Linked DNA regions of Cricetulus griseus. The protein of the gene in region 1 interacts with the protein of each later gene in a pairwise test. Links are inferred from orthologs where the notes say so. Each region holds a gene or a part of one and is shown on either strand. Other genes may lie near its edges. The genes, in order: Agr2 and Fabp2.

Region 1 (4,339 bases):
GAAGATGAAAATCATTATTAGCATTCCTGCATCCATACGAATGTAGAAACGTATGACACTGTGTTACTGCTTTAGCCTGTATCTTTTCTGAGCCTCTGTGTGGCCGTACATTGTGACTTGGATAACTGTTGGTCAGTTAATTTAAGGCATCACTTGGGTTGGTGACTGACTTCTTTTTACTACTCTAACGTCTAGCAAAGGTTCTCATTTGGGCTCACAGTCTATGAGGCTCTTCTCTCTCCTAAGCACTTACACCATGACACTCTACCTGCTTCCTTGGTAGAGTCTATTTGACTTAATGAAGAACGATACCAATACTACAGATGGACCCTCTAGTTCTGCATTGCTTTCTGGGCACCATTAGAATTTGGCATTACCAGATTCGAAGTCTTCAGTAGCCCAAGGTACAGACCATACGTACTTTGAGTGACATGAAACACAACCTGCTTGGCCTTCCTTCCTGCACTCATGCATTCTGTCTTGTCATTTAGAGCCCTACTCATGGTCATCTGCTGCAGCTTTTCCTAGTAATTAACTGTCCAATAGCAAAGGAGGAGAAAGGGAACTTAACACAGAAACATCCTGGGTTTTATTCTCCATGTCATGTTCATCACAGACTACATCTGTGTACTGGAGTGTATGCCTTCCCCTGCCACACAGGCCCAGACAAGGGCAAAGAATGTTCATTTTATGTGCCTTGATCAGTTCACAGCTAACACTGTTTGAGCAGATCCTCAATAGAGAAAAGGAACGAGTCTCCAGAGAAGAAGCCAGCATTCTGTAAATGAAGTAAGATGTGGTCATGTTATTGACATCCATTCTTTAAGGCAAGCTGTCGCTTCCATTGTAAGGGTGAATGTTCAGGAAAAGAGACGGGAGTTAACACTTTTGCTCTGAACTCATCCCCAAAATCTTTTCATCTCTCTGAACTTTAGAGTCTTCATCTACACAGTGAGAAAGGGGGGAAAGAGGTACCCCAAATTACCTACCATTACTATGCTTTTTAGTATAACTTTTAAATGTGCATTTCCCTAGCAGCCAAATATATGCGTCTACCTAGTTATATATTTCCTTAAAAAATATGTGTTATTCTACTGTAAGATAAGATACAACAAATATTATGTATTCACTGATAGAGAAAGTGAAGACAGTGAAGGCAGATAGACAATGGCTGGACACCTCAATAAGCATTCCTGGGAAACTCCTCCTCCTGTCCACTCCTGTCCCATCTTATCTCAGCGTAACCCGGTTCCCGCTGCTTTCCACTGTTGTGATACACTCTGTAGAGTCTAATTCCTTCCTGTTTATTTCCCGTGTAGATTGCCATGGAGAAAATTTCAGTGTCAGCATTCCTGCTTCTTGTGGCCCTCTCCTATACCCTGGCCAAAGATACCACAGTCAAACCTGGAGCCAAAAAGGACCCAAAGGACTCCCGGCCCAAACTGCCCCAGACCCTCTCCAGAGGTAGGTGTCAACTTTTTGCTGGCTCCCAGCTGCAACTTAATTCATAAAGGTATTAAATGTGTCTGCTGAAGATATTTGTGGATTTTTTTTTTCTAGATTTAGCATAGTTAATAATCAGGTCTTCCCGCTCCGGAGGCTTTTGTTCTTTAGTACTAAGTACATATTATCTGGGTTTTTACCATCACTTTTCAACAGGCTTGAGCCTGAAACTGTGGTGGATTTAAAGATACCAACTCCTTTTGTTCTAGGTTGGGGCGATCAGCTCATCTGGACTCAGACATATGAAGAAGCCTTATACAAATCCAAGACCAGGTAAGGCCGGTTACATGAAGCTCCTGGAGTCTCTCATGAGCGCCATCTAGTGGTGACTATCAGGTGTTCATGGCATCCTAATAAACATCCCATAATGTCTTCTCTCTCGCAGCAACAGACCCTTGATGATCATTCATCACTTGGACGAATGCCCACACAGTCAAGGTACTCTGTTCTCCTAAATTTCTTTTAGAAGCTTTTGTGTCGGGTCAGGGTTTGGATCACTCATCTTTACGTACCTAGGACCTAGCACTGTTTAAACAAGAAAGAATATCTTAAAACATTTAAAAAGACATTTGGATGTTTCCATGTTTTGAATTAACTATTGTTGCATATTTTGAGTATGAAATGCTGTGGATGGGGGTGCTGGAGAGATGGCTCGGCGGTTAAGAAATGCTGGGGTTCATCGATTAACTTCTTCCATCTTTTTCATGCGATATATCAACAAATACCATTGGATTTACTGTTAAAAGATATCTCCAGTCAGCACTAGCTTCCCACACATGCAACCTGCCCACTTGTTCAGGCTCCCCATGTTTGGTGCAATATACTCAATGCTGTCTTCACTTAATAATTCTAGCATGAGGGGCTCTGTATTTTCATTTCCCGCTGGTCTTTGTATATTAGGTAGCTCTTCTTGCCCAAATCCAAATGCCTTCTATTACCTCAATGCTACCACCTTAATCCAAGCCAACATGGCACCTTGTCCACCATACCAAACCTATCACCACTGACTACAGCAGTCAGCCCTCTACACAGAAGCCAGACTGAAGCTGTTCAATACAACTCAGATCCTTCACTCGTGTGCCCCGGGTGGCTTCTCATCACAAGAAAATTTAAAGCCTGATTCCTGGAATCCATCCAGCCGGAGCTTGGTTTCCCTTTCCTGTCAAGATCACATATTCCCACTTTATCCAGCCTGCCTTCATACAGCTCATCCCTATTAACCAAGGCTTTATAGCAACCTGTCCCCAATGGTCTGGACACTCTCTGACCTCAGAGTCACCTCCTAAAAGAGATGTGCCAAGACAAATTAGTAGCTCTTTAAGCCTTCACCTCACTTTATTTGTCCCCTGTGTATGTATAACTATATGAAATTACATATGTAGTATGCATTGGTTTATGCTGTGGTTCCCACACAAGCATCTGACCTCTGGAAGTGTGCTTTTCTGTTCAAGGTATTTTCCCTAGTGTATAAAATCATGTCTGCCAAAACATAGTTACTCAGTAACATCACAAATCATTTGCTGGAGGGGCAACGTAGGCATTGTATTTAAAACACTTTTCAACTTAAAAGAAAAGAGAAAGCAAAAGTCCTAATCAAAACTGAGATAAAGCACAATTGCTTTTTTTCTTATATTACAGCTTTAAAGAAAGTGTTTGCTGAAAATAAGGAAATCCAGAAATTGGCAGAGCAGTTTGTTCTCCTCAACCTGGTTGTAAGTTCCCCTCATCATCACCCATGTCTCCTCTGGCTTCAACGTCTGATTCGCCCTTTCTGTGCATCTCAGTCATGCTGCATTAACTAGAATCTCATCCCAGTATCCCATCGTACAGCTGAGAAACCCACAATCTTTTACTTTATTAATAATCTTATTTTGAAATTTTGCATTACTGGCATTGGGGCCAGCACCTGGCACATGCCAAGGAACATTCTGCCACTGAGTCATGTCCTCCACCTCTTTCTTAGTAATTTATGTGGCACACATGTTTTATTGTAATTAATAATCTTATCTGAAAAATATTCTTTAATGGTCAGGATCTCTGTGCTGCTATAGTAACCGGTTTTCGGTATTTTTGCAAATCACTGCCTTTGCCCATCTCCTTCGAGTCCTGGCTCACAAATCCCTGTAACTTCTTTCTCTCCATGGGCGAGAGCTCTGGTTGTCCAGATCTTCCCATGCGTCCTGGACTTTCGCTTCAGGAGGAATCCTGTCTCACTTCTCCATCACCAACCCTCCCGCCTTAGCCAGGCTTCCACTCTCTAACAAACGGTCCAATCACAGCTCCTCCAAGTCTTCCTCCTTGAGTTGTTTGGTTCTTTTTGAGTATCACATCCCTTCGCTTCTTGCCTCCTGCCCTGTATCACAGGCTGCTCTTTCTGCTCTGTGACACGTGTCTTCTCATCTGTGTTGTGAACTTTTGCAGAGAGGTTCCCTGGCAGTACCTTAGGCCCATGGTACACTGAGAGACACAGTCTCTTTTCTGATTAGCTTTTTAAATTAGTTTTAAATGTAATGGGTTCCACTATGGCACTTTCATATGCACTTTGTTTTTGCGCCTCTACCCCGACTAGTCTCTTTGCTAATCCCTAGAGCCCTACTTCTGTTTATATACTCTATAACCCTTTTCCAGTCCCCCAACCCTCTCTTAATTGTTTCACCACTCATGGTGAGTGCCCTTTCTAGTTCCAGAAAGATTTAACAGACACTTTTTTGCATTGGTAAGTTTGAAAATACCTAAAGAATAACATACAGCTGTTTTTCTTTTGTTTTGTTTTTTGATCACAGTATGAAACAACAGATAAGCATCTTTCTCCTGATGGCCAATATGTCCCCAGAAT
Region 2 (4,302 bases), on another chromosome or scaffold:
TAAGAAGATAACTTTCTAATCACCAAAGATATGGATTTTCTTCACAAAATAATAAAGTGGATCAAGGCCTGAGGTGCTCCTACTACACTGGTACTGGTGTAAACTTCCTTTCTCAGACAATGAGGACAGAAACATAGGTTTACTAAGTACCTGGTGTCTACAAGTTGTTCCGGTTGGAGCTTTTACACAGTGCTTTAAAAAATGCCCTATACTTGAGGCACTACTGTCTTCATGTGTGAGGAAACTGAGTCTCAGGTATGTTGGATAATCTGAGGCCATTCATGGTAGTGGGTGTTTTGATTGCAATACTAAAGCCTGGTTCATTTCTAAAACACATGCTTCTTTTTTAAATATATCATATTTCTAGTCCATTGGCCAGAGATTGACTTTACCTTTGTAATAAAGATTGGATCTTTAGTTTAAAATATTTGTTGTGTTTTTAATTATGTGTGTATATGTGTCTGTGTGAGGGTTTGGGTATGCATGAGCAAAGGGCTCACAGAATCCAGAAGAAGGCATCAGATGCCCCAGAACTGGTGTTACACACAGTTGAGAGTCAACCTATGTGGATACTAGGAATCAAAATGTGTCCTCTGTAAGAGTAGTGTGGTTTTTTTTTGTTTATTCATTTTTGGTATTGTTTGTTTCTCTGTTTGTTTAAGACACAGTCTCATTATACAGCACTGGCTGTCTGGGAACTCACTGTAGACCAGGATGCCCTAACTATATGGATCCATCTCTCTGCCTCCTGAGTGCTGAGACTAAAGGGGTGTGTGTGCCTTCACCACCCAGCTACATTGTGTGCTCATAACCTACTGAGCAACCTCTCCAACCTGTGGCTTCTTTAAAAACATTTAAATTTATTCTTTGACAATTTCATACTTTTATCCAATTTAATCATAACATTCCACCATCCCCCTCCAACTCCCTTAAATGGCGCCCATCCCATCACCTTTTCAACTTCATGTCCTCCTTGGTTGTTACAATAACTGTTGCCCATATACCCGTGAATGTGGGTCTACCTATTAGAGCATTGATATCCTACTAGCCATGTCCTCAAAGGACAGCGACTGACTCTCCCTCAACAGCCACCACCATCCACAGGCTTCAAAATTCATGAATCTCTGTTAAGTTTGTTGCCTGAGAAGATGCTTTGTAGGCTTTAGCACCTAGGTCTATAATTTGACATTACAACAAGAATACATGATGCCATTTATAAAGTTCATGATGGAGAACTGAGCAATCCACTTTTCAAAAGGAATAACAGAAGTAGAGTCAAGGAAAGCATGGAAAGAGAAGCTAAAGGGGCGTGGCATGTAAGGTAGTTAAGTAATCTCTTGAACTTTAAACTTCCACATCACAGTATGAGTTGGTTCGAAGATAAGAAGTAGAATAAATTCTCTCTTGTAGACAAGACTGAATCTCTGCTTTTCCAGAGGCACACACAACTGAGACCATGGCATTTGACGGCAATTGGAAAGTAGACCGGAGTGACAACTATGATAAGTTCATGGAGAAAATGGGTAAGAGTGTCTACCTGGGCGGCTCATTGTTTGCTTTCTCCTGCCTGTGCCTTAGGGAATGACTGGTGATGTGTAAGGCTCCAGGTGTGACTATAGAGCCAGGAAATCCATATCCACTCTTCCTGCTTTAGGAAGAACATCTTGTCTTCCCAGGGCAAGTGTTAGAGACCTTGTGTTTTCTTCCCTTGCCTGTTAGCTGAAAATTCACACGTGTGTGTGTGTGTGTGTGTGTGTGTGTGTGTGTGTGTGTGTGTGTGTGTGTGTGTTATGATAATTTCCAGAATTTAAAATAACACCGGATTATTGGGGGTAAAAAGAAGGATCTTTCAACAAGGTAAGAAAAGAATTTTATCAAAACTCAGCTTGAATAAATTCTATGTAATTCTCTTCTCTGACTTATGTAACTTCAGGAATAACCACAGAAAGCTGTGTATTCTTTATGGATGTATAATTTGATTACATTATAAATGTCCACTAATATTCTGGCAACCCACTACAAAACTGGGCAAAAATTATGTGTCATTCCCAAAATAAAACCTGCATGAATTATGGTTTATAATTTAGGGATTCTGAATTTAAATTTGTGATATCTGTACATTGATATTATAATGTATTTCATCATAAAACCCCTATTTTTTCTTGCTTGCAACTAATCAGGAATGCCACAAAAATGAATATAACTATGAAGCAAGCAAAGCATGGTGCTATATGCCTGTGATCTTAACACTTTGAGAGTGAAATGGGAGAATTGTGAATTAAAGGCTAGGGTGCTAGGCTATCTGGCAAGTTTGGAGCCTGCCTGGGTTATATATCAAGACCCAGTATCAAATGACAACAACAAAATAAATTAATAAATGCAATTTTGAAAGCAAAGTAGTGTTGAAAGTTAATAAATATCCAGAACTGAACTTGTGTTTCTTTAATATATGAATATACCTTTTAATACTCCATTTGACATTGCTGGAATTTGACTTAACTCTGAAGCAAAAAGGTTGTTAATCTTGTTAAAACGACCCAGGGTTAAGGTGCTACAGTTTGTTGCTTCATTTCCATTTTTCTTAGTTTGGAAAAGCTGCTTGAAGCAGTTCTCTGGGTCTACCAGAGCTTCCCCTTTCTCTAGAAGCATCTCAGTGTTGCTGTGCACACACAACCCTATTTGCTCTTTCTTCTCCACCCACAAAATAAACATGAGCAAACCAGGACAGAGTTTAGAAAGGGAAACACTTTCCGAGGCATTTTCATTTCTTGTTCCTTCCAATCTCTCTCGTTGTGCAGGTGTTAATGTGGTGAAAAGGAAGCTTGCAGCTCACGACAATTTGAAACTGACCATCACACAGGACGGAAATAAATTCACAGTCAAAGAATCAAGCACCTTTCGCAACATTGACATTGTGTTTGAACTTGGTGTCAACTTTACCTATAGTCTAGCAGATGGAACGGAACTCAATGTAAGACATTTTTAAAATAAACAATACATTCTTGATTTTTTTTACCAATACAAAGTGGTTGATCTCATGGAACGGTTCAACTAATTCAAATTCATTCCTAAGAAGAGGCAAACAAAGTGTGTTCATATTTTATGTTACACACGTTGGTTAAATGTTTAAATACAGTATTTTATTGTGACAGACATCTGTGAAAAAGTTATACTGAACAATAAGATTAGATGGACTGAGTATCGGAATAGTCACAAGGTGTCTTAGTTATGGTTTCTATTGCTATGAAGAGAAAGTATGATCACAGCAATTTTTATAAAGTAAAACATTTAATTGTGTTGTTTACAGTTCAGAGGGTTAGCCCATTCCCATCATGGAGAGGCATGGTGGCATGCAGACAGACATGGTGCTGGAGAAGGAGCTGAGAGTTAATGTGTCTTGATCTGCAGGCGACACGACATGAACTGTGTCACTGGGCATAGTTTTAGCCTGGAGACCTCAAAGCCCACCCCAACAATGACACACTTCCTCCAACAAGGCCACACCACTCCAACAAAGTCACACTCCCTAATAGTACCACTGTCTATGGGGGCCTTTTTCATTCAAACCACCACACAAGGAAATGTAAAGTTCTGTATTTTCAACTCTTCCTGCTGGGAGACTACAAGCTTTTAATGTTCATAATATTGAAACACAATAAGTGTTTATATATGTACTTGGACAATAAACTGAGAAGCCAGGTATGTAGCAGATTCAGGAGACTGTAGCAAGGACAAAACCGTGGATTGTGGTTCCAGCACTGTATAAAAACTGGGCATGGTCACACAAGCCTGTAATCCCAAGATGTGGGAATTGAGTCAGGAGGATCGTAAAGTCAAGCCTCTCCAAACATGTAGAGTAAGTTTGAGGTTAGAGTGAGCTACATGATATTTAATCTAAAAAAATTAAACAATTAATGAGTGGGTGAGTAGCCAAATGTAAAAGTCTAATACTTTATAGGTCATTAAGAATGTCCCTTTCAATGGACATAAAAAAAATTTAGGGACTCACTCTTTTCAATTAATTTTTAAGAAGTATTTTTAGTCTCAGAGATTTTCTAGTCAAGTATATTTGTAGTACGTGTGTGTGTGTGTGTGTGTGTGTGTGTGTGTGTGTGTGTGTGTATGTATGTATGTATGTATGTATGTATGTATGTATGTGTGTGTGTAGTGGTTGCACATGCCCACATGGCCAGAGGAGGCCATCAAGTGCCTTGTGGTGCTGCATATCTTATTCCCTTGAGACAGGGTATCTCACTCAATCCGGAGGCAGGCTGGTGGCCATGAAGCCCCATGGTCCTCCTA

Evidence for each region.
Region 2: the proteins of Agr2 (region 1) and Fabp2 interact in binary tests that used the Homo sapiens proteins (3 or more experiments, as listed by UniProt). The two-hybrid records come from large-scale screens. The link is inferred for Cricetulus griseus from reciprocal best matches to the Homo sapiens genes AGR2 and FABP2.

The regions. Positions count from the first base shown.
Region 1 is NC_048598.1:165,725,627-165,729,965, reverse strand, and holds the start of Agr2 (anterior gradient protein 2 homolog), read left to right. Parts: upstream 1-1,325; coding exon 1,326-1,464; intron 1,465-1,712; coding exon 1,713-1,776; intron 1,777-1,888; coding exon 1,889-1,941; intron 1,942-3,141; coding exon 3,142-3,215; intron 3,216-4,286; coding exon 4,287-4,339. UniProt on the Homo sapiens protein: Required for MUC2 post-transcriptional synthesis and secretion. May play a role in the production of mucus by intestinal cells. Proto-oncogene that may play a role in cell migration, cell differentiation and cell growth. Promotes cell adhesion.
Region 2 is NW_023276806.1:35,615,317-35,619,618, reverse strand, and holds the start of Fabp2 (fatty acid-binding protein, intestinal), read left to right. Parts: upstream 1-1,456; coding exon 1,457-1,523; intron 1,524-2,798; coding exon 2,799-2,971; intron 2,972-4,302. UniProt on the Homo sapiens protein: FABPs are thought to play a role in the intracellular transport of long-chain fatty acids and their acyl-CoA esters. FABP2 is probably involved in triglyceride-rich lipoprotein synthesis.